Linked DNA regions of Drosophila melanogaster. The protein of the gene in region 2 purifies or fractionates together with the protein of the main gene of each other region. This does not show direct contact. Each region holds a gene or a part of one and is shown on either strand. Other genes may lie near its edges.

Region 1 (4,866 bases), on a different chromosome or scaffold from region 2:
CATAAAGGCTGACAGAAACGACCGACTCTCTCTCTCTACTACGTGCCAATCAGACCTCGTGTGATGCAGTGCTCGAAAAATGCACGACAGCCAATTCGACTGACAAATGGCCGCACACAAGGCCGACAAGTGCCCACTCCCCGTGGCCATAAAACCCCATATCCACACCCCGTGCCCCACACACCTTCACCTCCACCCTCCCTTCAATCACCAGTCTTTGCGTGTGTCACTGCAGCAGCACTCGATATTTCTGTGTGTACTTGCAGTGGGGCATGCACAACAGCCTCGACAATAGACCGGCAGCAGGCAGACTCCTGGACGGGATGCCATGGAATGGGACGTTGGGATGGGTCGGTGCCATGTGCCCACCGCTGCCATGGCCTACGCCACGCCAATGACATTGAACCCGGCGACTGGGACGACCCTTTGTGCCATGCATAGCATTACGGAAAGGAGCTCGAAGCCCATTCACACTTGTGGATGGTTTAAAGAGCGCACTAAATTGGCCACGAGGGTTATTTTCGGTACAGAGAAAAGAAATTACTTATAACAACTTCTATAGTCTTGTATTTCAATGTTTTGATATCTGTTTTCCACCATCGCAGAGTAGTAAAGCATTTTAGAAATGAGAATATAAACAAGACGTTCCTCGACTATCAGATATTCGTTGCTCAGCTAATGGGAGTGCTGGACAACTGGAACCCGGACACCGGTACCACGACACCAGAAGTTGCACGCTTAAGCTAAAACTTGTGACTAACTCTACAAGTAATAAATCTAATGTAAAGATTGCGATTGTATGCCTCTTCAAATGGCTATAGTAAGAGCCCAGATTATGTCATACCATCGAAGTTCAACCGCCACAATTCGCACTCACATCGCTGAAGGGAGCCAAGCGAATGAATCAACCCCTAGTCAGCGAATTTAGTTTTCGTCGGCCGTCGAGCAATGCACTCTTTGTAGGTCAGTTATGGGGTGGCATGGGTGGCCACATGCTCCATGGGTCTTCGCTGGTGTTGCAACACTTGGTGTCGTCATGCGTCGCGTGCCCGGGCGTTTTGCTTAATGTGATTAAGACAAAGCGACAACAAACCAAAACAAAGTGCATTCGCTGACGGAACAGGAGAAAATCAAAGCGACCCGAGTTTATTGCACCCCTTTTAGCCGGTTAGACGGTGGAAAAGGCTTTTCGTGTTCTCCGACACAGGAAAAAATAAATTTCATGCAAGCTCAAATATTAAATCAAATCGGGCAAGACATGGACTGTCGGCTATACTTAGAATATATGCAAATAATGGTGATTAATCTGGAATATGGACATATGAATAAATATTATAAAAAGTCTAAATACAGCTGCCTACTAACGCTGGTATGTGTTTGTTTATTGTGTACCTCGAGGCTATAAGATATAGCCCCATATCTTGGAAAATGCAATTTTACATACACACAACCATTAGTCGCAAATATCGTGGCGAAATTGTCGGAGGGCGCGATAAGATAATTGCCTACATGGAACTGGTACCGAAGAGGTTCCTGAACTTGCCATAAATTACCAAATTTCTGGGCACCGTGCGAAATAGAATTGATAAGGTCGCTCGATAAGTCCGTACCACTTCGGATTCTGAGTGCTGAGTGATGCACTCAATCGACTAAATGGGTACAAAGCCAAACGAGTTGGATTTACAAACAGACTCACCTTGAAGCGGGTTTCGGTTTTCGACTGCGGTCGTAGCTTCTGTGAATGAAATTCTCGGTTCTCTGGGCTGCTGGCTGTCTTCGGTGTTTCAGCAGGTGATTGTCGTGATTCTCTGGCGGAGATGAAACAGCATAGCAAGCGGTTCCCTAATGTATTTTTCCGAAACTATGGTGTATAATCCGTATCCGTGTTCCTAAGTTAAGTTAATCCGCGCGCTAGATCCGTCTATCGTTTTTCGAGTGCACAGGTGTTGCATGTGATGTGTATCGTGTCCTGTGAGTGCGGGGGGAAAGTCCCTCCCACTGTTGGTAAGAATTGTAGAAATGTGTAAAAGCCTGGCTAAATGCCTAAAAGACGTACAACGACGATACAAATCCGACTGATTTTCATTTTTACACAAACACACGCACACTGCGACAGCACACTCTCACTCACGTACACGCACGCACACACTGCCAGGTGGGCTGACTTCTGATTCAGTGCGATTTTCGCGTTCTGCAAGGTGTATCTACAACCTCCCGAAACGCGTATTCACTTCGATTTCCGGGTTCTAGCGCTGCAGCATTGTTTATCTACCACGGATATCCAGATTTTCTTCGCAATCGGTCGAGAAAACAATAAATTTATTGTGCAGCTTAGAGGTGTAAGAGAAACATAGACGTATCGATGTCTCTCGATGGTTTGTGCCTATCGAAATCGGTGTCCCGCAATATACACAGCTTCCACTAAGCGAAATTTTAGCATTTTGGCATACGTGTAGAATTTAAATGGAAAATTACCCTTGGTAACGCATGTACGATCAAATTCGCACCAACTCAACGGTTCCTAATTCTTGTCGTGCAAATGAGACAAACAAATTTATAATTATTAAAATAAAATATATTCACATCGGATTGTATTGTTTCTTATATATATGGCCCAAAATTAAAGAATTTCATTTTAATTAAGAGCATGGTCGGCGTTGCCATACTTTCAAAAAGTTTTCCTTAAGCTGGGGTATATTCCAATAGCACAACAACGGTCACTCTATTTCAAAATTCAAAACAAGCTATTGGCGTCGTCTGTCTGGATTTTGTGTATGGAATAAGTAGATCAGAAGAAGCAAATGGGATCCAAAGTGGAGCAGCAGTACAAGCTGCTGAATGCGGAGCTAATGGACCAAGTGCAGAAGCAGCGCTTGGAGATCGGCGAGTACAGGAAGCGGGTGATATCTTTGGAGCGAGAGATCATGGACATTCGGGAGGAGCACGTCCTGCAAAACCATCGCCAGCGCATGGAGAACATCAGTATCGTACGCAGCCTGATGCTGAGCCTGAACGTGGACTCCGATTCCCTGGCAGTGCGTCAGGAGCCCGCTCCCGCAGCTCAGATAAACAGACCAAGCGGCCCGCGTCGCAGCTCCAGGGAAATCTGCAAGGACATGCGACGGACGTGTGCGTTGGCCCGCACCACCAGACCAATCTCGCCAAGAAGATCTTCCTCAGTGACCAGTACTGTATCGTCCACTAGTCGCCGCTCCAGCGCAGAAGTGCAGTCCGAGGTGGTGACCACTAGGATACCAGAGGATAGAAGAGCCAACAAGGTAACTTATACTTAAATTTGATTATGCTTTTCTTAACGATTCATTATCGGCTTGAGTACAGCCTACACCACCGCCACGAAGACCAGCGGAATTAGTGTTTGATGAGGACGACTCGGACGATGATTTCGACGAAGCAGTAAGCCCCGTGGAGGAGACACAGACTGAGCAAAATGAAGAGAACAATCGTCTGTTTAGCATTATAGAGGAAAATGGCAGTGAAGGGGAGTCCACAGACTCGTCATCATCATGCGAGGCCATCTATTGCGACACAACGTTTGAAAGTAGTCCGCCAAACGCCCAAGTCACCGTCACGCCCAGTGGACGGGCTCTGCGGGAAGTGGACACCAATATCCCTGTAGCAGTGTCCCTCAGTCGGGGAAAAGAGACTGGGAAGGGATCATGGTTGGCTATTTCCGTAGCTGTGGAAGATTCTCCACAGGAGCCAAGCATACAGTGCCCACGACTGGCAGTCACCAGGCCTAGTCAATCGTCTGGAATATTTCCTGATGTCAACGGATTAACGCCGCGAAGAAGCCTGTTCAATGGGATAGGCAAAATGGCCGGAAGCACCAGCACTCCGAAATCCTTTCTCGTCGAGGAAATGCCATCTATAAGAACTAGAAGCCGAACTGCGGCTAATAAGAAATCAGAAAATACGGATATGTCTAGTTCTTTCTGCAACAACAGCGCAAGGCCGAGTAGAAGCTGCAGGCCCACCAGTTTGGTGGAGCCAAGTCTGAAGAACAAGTTGCGCAATGGCTCGAAAGGCAAGGCCAAGGCCAAAAAGTAGATAGACGAATTTTTTAATAGGCTTTAATGTTGTTTCTGTAATTTCATTGGTTTTCAATACCACTTTTTACCATTTTTAATATGAATAATATTTTTAAATCGTCAGGCCCTGATAAGTTTAATTTATAGACTAAAAGCTGACATCGGATTACTTTTTGCCTGCAATAGAGGGCATATTCAGTTCATCCAGCGCTATCGGAAGGAAGACACTCCATCATCATCATCACCCAAAGATGCCAATAGGAATTTAAAAGTACGTCTAATTTTTACATGTTCATTTGTGAATAAAACAACGTTTCAATTAATTATTTGTTAATACGCTTTTAGGGGAACTCATTTTATAGATTCCTCTTAGATGCAAACTACGTTTATTCGCACAAAGTTGTTGGAAACATTTACAAAAGACTCTGAAGAACAAAGTACAATTACAATTACAATTAAATACAGTAGCAAAAGGGTAATGATTATACGTAGGTAGGCGATAATTGCACTTCTTTTAGACTACCTCGAACTTGCCCATACAACAGTTGAGATGGTCTCCTGCATGGTTGTGGCTTGGCTGCTCCGTGTTCTCCTTGATCTCGCTGATAATGTCCTGTATCTTGTTGATGATCTGTTGCGAGTTTTCACCTTCGCCAGGAGTGTGTTCGCTACCTGCGGCCGCTTCTGGTTGCTTTGCCTGGGCGGCATCTGCGGGTAGCTCCACGCCCAAACTGACCACCAGCTTGTTTAGTGCCTCAATCTTCTCGCGCAGCTGCTCTCGCTCCGCTTGCAAGAGACGCATTTGGGCGGCCTTCTC
Region 2 (8,105 bases):
AACAAATTTGACGCCCGTTACAAAGGTCAGTAGCTTAGTGAGCCGAAACAGACACCTGCCAGACGCGGATGGTGTTGTCGGAGTAGCCGGCGAACAGAGTCTGGCCGTCGGTGGACCAGGCCAGGGACAGGCACTGGGGCTGATCGGCCTTCGACGTGGGCGAAACGACCTCGGGGCGCAGCTCCTCAACGGTCTTCTTGCATGCCAGATCCCAGATCTTGATCGAGGGTCCGTAGGCCACGCACAGCCAGTAGCGGTTGGGCGAGAAGCACAGGGCGTTGATGATGTCGTTGTGCTCCAGAGTGTACAGGTTCTTGCCGTCATTGAGGTCCCACAGCAGGGCCTTGGAGTCCTTGCCACCTGAGGTGCACAGGGAGCCATCGGGCGAGACGGTCACCGTGTTCAGGTAGCCGTTGTGGCCGTGGTGGTTGTTCTTCAACTTGCAGTTAGCCAAGTTCCAGACCTTGACGGTGCGATCCCAGCCGCAGGACACGATGATCGGGTTGGAGTGGTTGGGCGAGAAGCGCACGCACGACACCCAGTCGGTGTGGCCATCCTCCTGGATGGTGAACTTGCACTCAGCCAGGGTGTTCCACAGCTTGATGGTCTTGTCCCGAGAGCCGGACACGATCTGACGGTTATCGGCCGAGAAGGCAACCGACAAAACGTCCTAGAAAGCGAACAAGCATTTGACGATTAGCTAATGGTATTGGTATGGTTTTCATAAAAATAATATATTTACTGGATATTTCACTGACCAACTGAATGGGCATAGTCCCAACTCAATTAGTCAGTGAACGGAATCCAGATGGGTTTCTTGCAACTAATTAGGAATCAATGGGTATCAGAGATTGTTTGCCTACTTACGATGGAGCTTCAAGCAATTTATAGCCGAGACTCGAGCGAAGGGTGAAGCGTACGTCGTACAGATGTCAACCAGTAATTCTGCCTCGCATAGGCGCAATATATATTTTTTCGATTTGTACGCGGCAAAGGCGGGCCTAACCTCACTCCTAACCTTACATTTAGCCTTTTGCCGGTACAGATCGGTTCAAAATCTCAGTTCCCTAAACGAACTAAATGCAATTGGAATCTTATCCCACCTTAGTGTGTCCCTCGAAGCGACGGGTGGTCTTGCCGGCGGCCAAATCCCACAGGCGAAGGGTCTGATCCCAGGATCCGGACAGGGCGTAGTTGCCATCGGAGGAGAGCACCACGTCGCTGATGAAGTGCGAGTGTCCGTAGAGACGCTTCTGGGGGTAGCCGTAGTTGGTGTCCTCGTCGCGGGTCAGCTTCCACACGATCAGGGTCTTGTCTGCGAATCGAGATGGTGGCCATTAATATACGCACGTGCTACCAGATAAATCCGAAGAATTTCAATGGCGATTACTTACCACGGGAGGCCGAAATTATGGTGTCGGGATCCTTGGGGTTGGTGGCGATCTGGGTGACCCATCCATTGTGGCCAATGAGGGTACCGCGCAATTGCAGGGTCTCGGACATCTTGAGTTTATATTATTTGCTACGGAGCGCGAAGGAAACACGTCCAAAGGCGCTGCAAGCTGGCAGAAAAAGAGGCAGTTCCGGTTCCAGTGCTCGCTAAGATGCCAACTGTCAGCGAGCGTTCAGTGTTGGACAGGACAAAACTATCGATAGTTTGAATTTTCTGTTACAAATAATACGTGTAAAATGTAACGTCAAATAATAATATCAAAAACTTTAAAATATATATAAAAAAAATAAATACTTTTACACCAAGTATTAATATTATTATATCTAAAGAACCCCAGAAATATTGAAGTTTAGTTTTAAAACAAATTGTGCTATTATTTAAGAAATAATCGACGCTAATGCACATCTATGAAAAGACTACTAAAGGATTTTAAAACAATCCCAATATCTTGTTGCCCAAATGCCTATGTACATACTTTTATTTTGTCACTATCACGTAATAATGTAAAAAAAACGGTGAGCGTTGATCCCACTTTATTTTCTAGTTTTACTTGGTAACTGTTGGCCAAATAGTAAGGATACCATCCACAAGTTTTAGTCGGTATTTTTGTAGAAATGTCAAGCATGCATCGCTAATCGATACACACACACACAGCGCGTTCTTAAGCGTTTCGCGGCAATCGGTCACACCGAGGGCAGTCTTTCCCTTCGTATATCGTGTCGTCGTCTCTTTTGTGAACAAAAAATACGAAGAAAATCGCCCAAATCGAGTTGATTCGATTGGCAATTGTGTGGAGATAAACGAGTGAATACGCGGTTGGCAATCGAACGCAACAGTAGTTGCTAATTTTCCTGCACCCCTGAGTTATAATAAAAGCCGTCAAAATTGAATCGACAAAGATTGACGAGACTTTTTCTTCCACCACAACTGCGATGGAGGATAAAGCAACAACAAAAGATCTTGATCAATGGATTGAGCAGTTGAACGAATGCAATCAGTTGACAGAGACACAAGTTCGCACCCTCTGCGACAAGGTAAGGCCCGGTCCTTGCCCATTTTCCCCATGCGAATTAGGAGATGTTATAAAAATAATTTTCGTCATTGCATGCGAGCGAGCGATTTTTTTTTGCAAATGGTGCTCCAACGCTGCGTGTCTCTGGCCCTCTCGCTCTTTCCAATGGGGAGAGGCGCTGAGCGGAGAGCGCGAGAGCATGATTCATGTCGTGCCCTCTTGCTCGCACAGTAGCGGCGGCTTGCGTCGCCATATTGGAATATTGGTAAATTCCAACAGCCAAGCGCCGCATTGCCGCGCACAAGTGCGAGCGGGACAACGGGACGGGCAAGTGCGTGCGTGAATGCGACAGCTAGAACAGCGCTTTGGTCTAATGGGCTAAACCTGGGCAAAAAGAGATATTTCTTTTTGTATTATTGTACAATTTGATTGTTTAACTAAAGTGCATTGTGCGTGTTTAATGTTGTTGTTATTGTGTCCACCGGAAACTGAGCACCCCCGCTCCGTGCAACCTCATGCGCGTTTTGTCGTTGCTGAGTAAATATTACTTAATGTTTTTGTGCGTCGGTGTGTGCGCGCCCCTAGAATATGTATCTATGTACCGTCGTATCTCAATTCTAGAATAATGCACTTGCATTGGTGTTTGTGTTCCTTTTTTTATGACCAACCATGTTCAATTAAACACTTTTGATATCAATTGTTTTTAATTTGCCGATTTTACCGTTCATCAGGCGCGTCGCGCACACAAACAAACAGACAAGCAAAAAGAGTGCAAGAGAGGGAGAGAAAAAGAGAGGGTGAACAGATAACGATTCATTGATTTAGGAGTAAGTGGGGTTATGTTTGCGTCACCCAAATATTTGTCAGTGTTCCCATTAGAATCTTGAATCTCCGTTCTCCCTCCGAGAAGAACGTTCTTCGCTCTTCTCGGGTGCGTCTTCTGCGGCCTCTCTCCATCCTTCCCGTTGCTACGAAAAGAAAAGCGGAGAGTACGCGGAGAGAGCACAAGCTGCATCAGTGTTTGTGCATGCATCTGTATGGGTGCGCTGGCCTCGTCATGAGTTCAAAAATTATTTTTCTTTTTTTTTTTTTTTCGATTTCTGGCCAAGCGGAAGCAACAGCCTCCAAGGTAATGCTGTGCATATGGCAAAAAATCTAATTGGCTCACGCACAAATCGCTCATTTGCGCCGCCGGATTCTACCCCCGGAACTTGTTGTCATGTCCCATTTCGTCAGCTGATAAATATAAGAATTCGCAAAGAACACGGCGGAATGGTCAAAATAAATGTGCAATTTTTGTTTGCTCATTTTGGCACATTTATGTTTGTAAAAACCGGTTTTTTTGATGCTGTATATTGACGCCCATCGGGAATTTTTGAATCGACCTTCATATTTTATTTTACTAAAGACGATAGAATACTTTCCAGAATCGTGAATTTGTTATGTTTATACGGACAACTTTTTATCGTACGTTCATCTTATCTCAACTTATTAAAAAGCTTTGCTTCCTTTGTTTTGATTTTCATACAGCTTATATTAGCAACTTAAACTTGTTTGCAACTGACGCAAAATTCGATGAGAAAATAGTTGAGGTTCTTCGCTTGTTGACCAAATCTTGACGGATAACCTTGGCCTTTGACAAGGTTTTATCATCCGCACATGCGGATCACTTTCGGTTTTCTCAGTACTTTCTGTTTCGCAGATATTCTGTCATGTCATTCACCATTCACCGAATTATGGCAGGTGAAAAAATAGAACATCAAAGTTTCCATATTACTTTCATTTGGTTAACTATTTACACACAAACGTAACAAAAATGTTTTGTAATTTCCGGAAATTTTGCTACATGTTTATGTTTTTCTTATAGGAAGTAGCAATGTTTAGGTACACAGTTTTATAGGGTTTTGCGGGAAGCTATTTTCAGAATTACCCAAGAGATTGAGTTTTGATGCCATTAAAATTTCTTGTGGGATGTTTAAAGAGAACAAGTGATATTTATTTCCCTCGATTCTCTGTAAAAAAACGCATGCACTTATCCAATATATTTGTTTTAATTTCTCTTCTAGTTACAAGCTATTTTTAGAGTACACTTTGAGTGTTGGCGTTGAGTCATTAAGTATAGTGAATAATGTACAAAGTACTAATCGTTTTATTTATCTTTTCTGACCCTGGAAACGATTTGGGCTAGATTATGTTAATCAGTATTTTAATATTGGTATTCAAAGTTGTTTATTCGGTTATTCGAATAGGGAGGTAACATTAAAACGTATCTCCCTAAAAATATCCATAAATAAATTGCTGATTGGTCTACTGTTTCCATTTCTTTACAGGCCAAGGAGATTCTCTCCAAGGAGTCCAATGTGCAGGAGGTAAAATGCCCGGTGACAGTGTGCGGAGATGTCCACGGTCAGTTTCACGACCTCATGGAGCTCTTCCGGATAGGCGGCAAGTCTCCGGACACCAACTACCTGTTCATGGGCGACTACGTGGACCGTGGATACTACTCCGTGGAGACCGTGACCCTTCTGGTGGCCCTGAAGGTTCGCTATCGCGAGCGCATCACCATCCTGCGCGGTAACCACGAGTCGCGCCAGATCACACAGGTGTACGGCTTCTACGACGAGTGCCTGCGCAAGTATGGCAATGCCAACGTTTGGAAGTACTTCACGGATCTGTTCGACTACTTGCCACTGACGGCACTCGTCGACGGGCAGATCTTCTGCCTGCACGGAGGCCTCAGTCCCTCGATCGACAGTCTGGATCACATTCGGGCCCTCGATCGCTTGCAGGAGGTTCCGCACGAGGGTCCCATGTGCGATCTGCTCTGGTCCGATCCCGATGACAGGGGTGGCTGGGGAATCTCGCCTCGTGGCGCCGGTTACACCTTTGGCCAGGTGAGTGTTGTCTGCATGTTGGCTATTTCTCAATAAAATTCGGAGCTGATTTGCCTAGCTTGGATACTTGGAAATTTATTCTTTAATCACATTGTAAAATTGTTAAGTGAAATACATCTGAAGACCCGATTAAAACTAAGCTGAACAAAAATTGTCTGCTCAAAAGCATGCAAATATATTCTAGATAAATTTTTTATTGATCTTAATAGGAAATTTTATCGGGGCATGCACTTGATGAAAATCAATAATCAGTAATCGAAGTCTACTGCTGATATAGGCCCAACTGATAACGCAATCAATGGAAAGAGCTTTCGTTATAAATTGTTTTGACATTTCAAACCGTCAACTACAAAACAAATTTTAACTATCCAAATCGAATTTCATTGAGAAAGAGCCAATTACTTCTATAAGCATTTTTACTAATATTTCCATTTTATTTGAAGGATATTTCGGAAACCTTTAACAACACAAACGGCCTGACACTGGTGTCGCGCGCCCATCAGCTGGTGATGGAGGGCTACAACTGGTGTCACGATCGCAATGTGGTCACAATATTCTCAGCGCCAAACTATTGCTACCGCTGTGGCAACCAAGCGGCTCTTATGGAACTGGATGATTCACTTAAATTTTCATTGTGAGTGGCAATTCGCTTGAGCTGCCTTTAAATGCGGCATGTCTGACTAATCTAATCGTTTGCATTTATTTTAGCCTACAATTTGATCCAGCACCCAGGCGCGGGGAGCCTCATGTTACGCGAAGAACACCCGATTATTTCCTTTAAGCTGGATTGCTCGCACCTACGCAGCTTACATTTACACATATTACATCGCATTATAACAACAAGAAGAACCGAAACAATATATAATATATACAAATCCAACCAGCAGCAACAAAATAAACAAAATGGCAAGTGCTGTCGAAAAAAAAACTACCATAAAAAACAACCCAAAACTAAAAACCTCGATGCATTTGTTTTGTGGAGGTCGTTTTAAACAGAGAGCAGTGGAAGAGATATTGTATAAACAAAGAAAAAAAAAGTAACCATAACAGTCGAGAACACAAAAATGCATTGAACAGTTATTGTTGTTGGCCACAGTTTAAAAGAAAAGGAAAAAACCGGAAATGTCGCCAGCGGGGGCGGCAGGCAGAAAATTTATATCAAAGATAAAGGGGAGGAGCAGAAGGAGAAGCAGTATACAGAAATGATACAATCCAATCGAACCTACCAACCAACCCAGAAACCAAGCAACAAAACCGCAAGCAACAAGAAGAACTACAACTACTTAGCTAAATTTGTTAATTTATAAAAATAACGAACTAAGCGTCGCAGCAGAAAGCCAGGGAGCAGGAGTGATGGATGGATGGACTCATGGATTATGACGTGATGTGTGTGTGGGCGGAAGGGGCTGACAAAGGACTAAACGGGACGAAAGGACGAACGCCAGGACGTAGCAGCATAAGCAAGCAGCAGCGGTAGCAGCAGCAGAAGCAGAAGCAGACGACCCACGACCGACAAAGCAGGAAGATAACGATGAAGCAGCAGCAAAAAAGTAGGAGCAGTATGTGGCAGGAGCAGCAGCGAACGCCATTGCGATGGGGGAAGCGCGGGGCGGGCCAGCGATTTATATAAAAACAAAAATTATAAAAAAGAAAATAAGGAAATACAACAAATTTAATATTACTGATTAAAATTAAATAAAAAAAAGCGAATAAAACTATTAAAAAACAAACAAAAAAGCAAAGAAAAATGATTAAAAAAAATTCATTATCAATTAAGTTCATATGTAACTTTAATAATAATAAAAGAAAGAAAAAAAAAACAAACAAACAATTCCCACCTGCCGACGAAGAGAGCCATCGAAGAGCGCGCGTTCAAGGGAGAAAGTCCTTTAAGAGAGACCCATGCGAACGATTTTGGTTTTTCGTTCTGGCAATGACGCTCCCTTTTGGCCTGCGGGCTCCTTTGGTAGTGTGTATGCGAACATGGCCAAGTTAACACGAGGCCACCACGACGAGCGGAAGTCGAGCCTCAAACGGGCCACCTAATTGAGACCACAAAGGAGGCGATATGGGTGTGGGGGAGGTGATATATGGATGGATGGCAGAGGGCAGATAGAAGGGACGGAGGTCGTGGTGCCAGCCAACCAATGATGCCCAAGTCAAAATCTAAATCAGAGCCGGGCTGCCTTTGATTCCCAGCGAAAGCGAAAGCAAAAATCTTGCCAACTTTGTATAAATTTTTGCATATTTTAGCAGCCGCCCACACGAACTGTCAAAAGTCATGTACAGTGGTCGCTCTCTATTGTTTCTGTTTACAAAGTATTTTGGAAACTATTTCGATTGGATTTGATGTTCCTGATAATTTAGTTGGTTATTTAACTTTAGCATACGAATGAAAAGTATATTAAGAGCAAGAAAGTAAACGATATATAAATAATAAACATTTGGCAATAGTAGAAACCCTAGAATATATGGATTATTCTGAGATAAGCAGTTCGTGCACCGCCAGTTGGCACTGTATCCACATGAGTTTTGGTCTGGATGAAAATCTAAATTTGAGAACATGCTGGATCGAGGATGGGGACTCTCAAGTGCCCAAGAACTTGGCGAGCAAACAACCATACCCATACGTACACCTACCGAGACTTGTCATCTATCATGCCCCAACAAACCCGAAACCAGAACAGGAGCTCCACAGGATGCTGGGGGGAGGTAATTGTCGCCCTGGCTGCTGTGGAGAGGCCAT

Evidence for each region.
Region 1: the proteins of mts (region 2) and mei-S332 purify together in Drosophila melanogaster (affinity purification with mass spectrometry; 3 studies listed by BioGRID, with this or other methods). This does not show direct contact.

What each region holds. Positions count from the first base shown.
Region 1 is NT_033778.4:22,120,197-22,125,062, forward strand, and holds mei-S332 (meiotic from via salaria 332), read left to right. Parts: upstream 1-1,904; 5' UTR 1,905-2,004; exon of another isoform or gene 2,005-2,366; intron 2,367-2,706; 5' UTR 2,707-2,801; coding exon 2,802-3,278; intron 3,279-3,339; coding exon 3,340-4,068; 3' UTR 4,069-4,171; downstream 4,172-4,866. Other genes in the region: GM130 (golgi matrix protein 130 kD), read right to left, coding at 4,564-4,866. UniProt on the Drosophila melanogaster protein: Plays a central role in chromosome cohesion during meiosis and mitosis by preventing premature dissociation of cohesin complex from centromeres after prophase, when most of cohesin complex dissociates from chromosomes arms.
Region 2 is NT_033779.5:7,825,667-7,833,771, forward strand, and holds mts (microtubule star), read left to right. Parts: upstream 1-1,983; 5' UTR 1,984-2,385; coding exon 2,386-2,487; intron 2,488-4,795; coding exon 4,796-5,359; intron 5,360-5,802; coding exon 5,803-5,993; intron 5,994-6,067; coding exon 6,068-6,140; 3' UTR 6,141-7,910; downstream 7,911-8,105. Other genes in the region: Rack1 (receptor of activated protein kinase C 1), read right to left, coding at 35-670, 1,104-1,315, 1,395-1,503.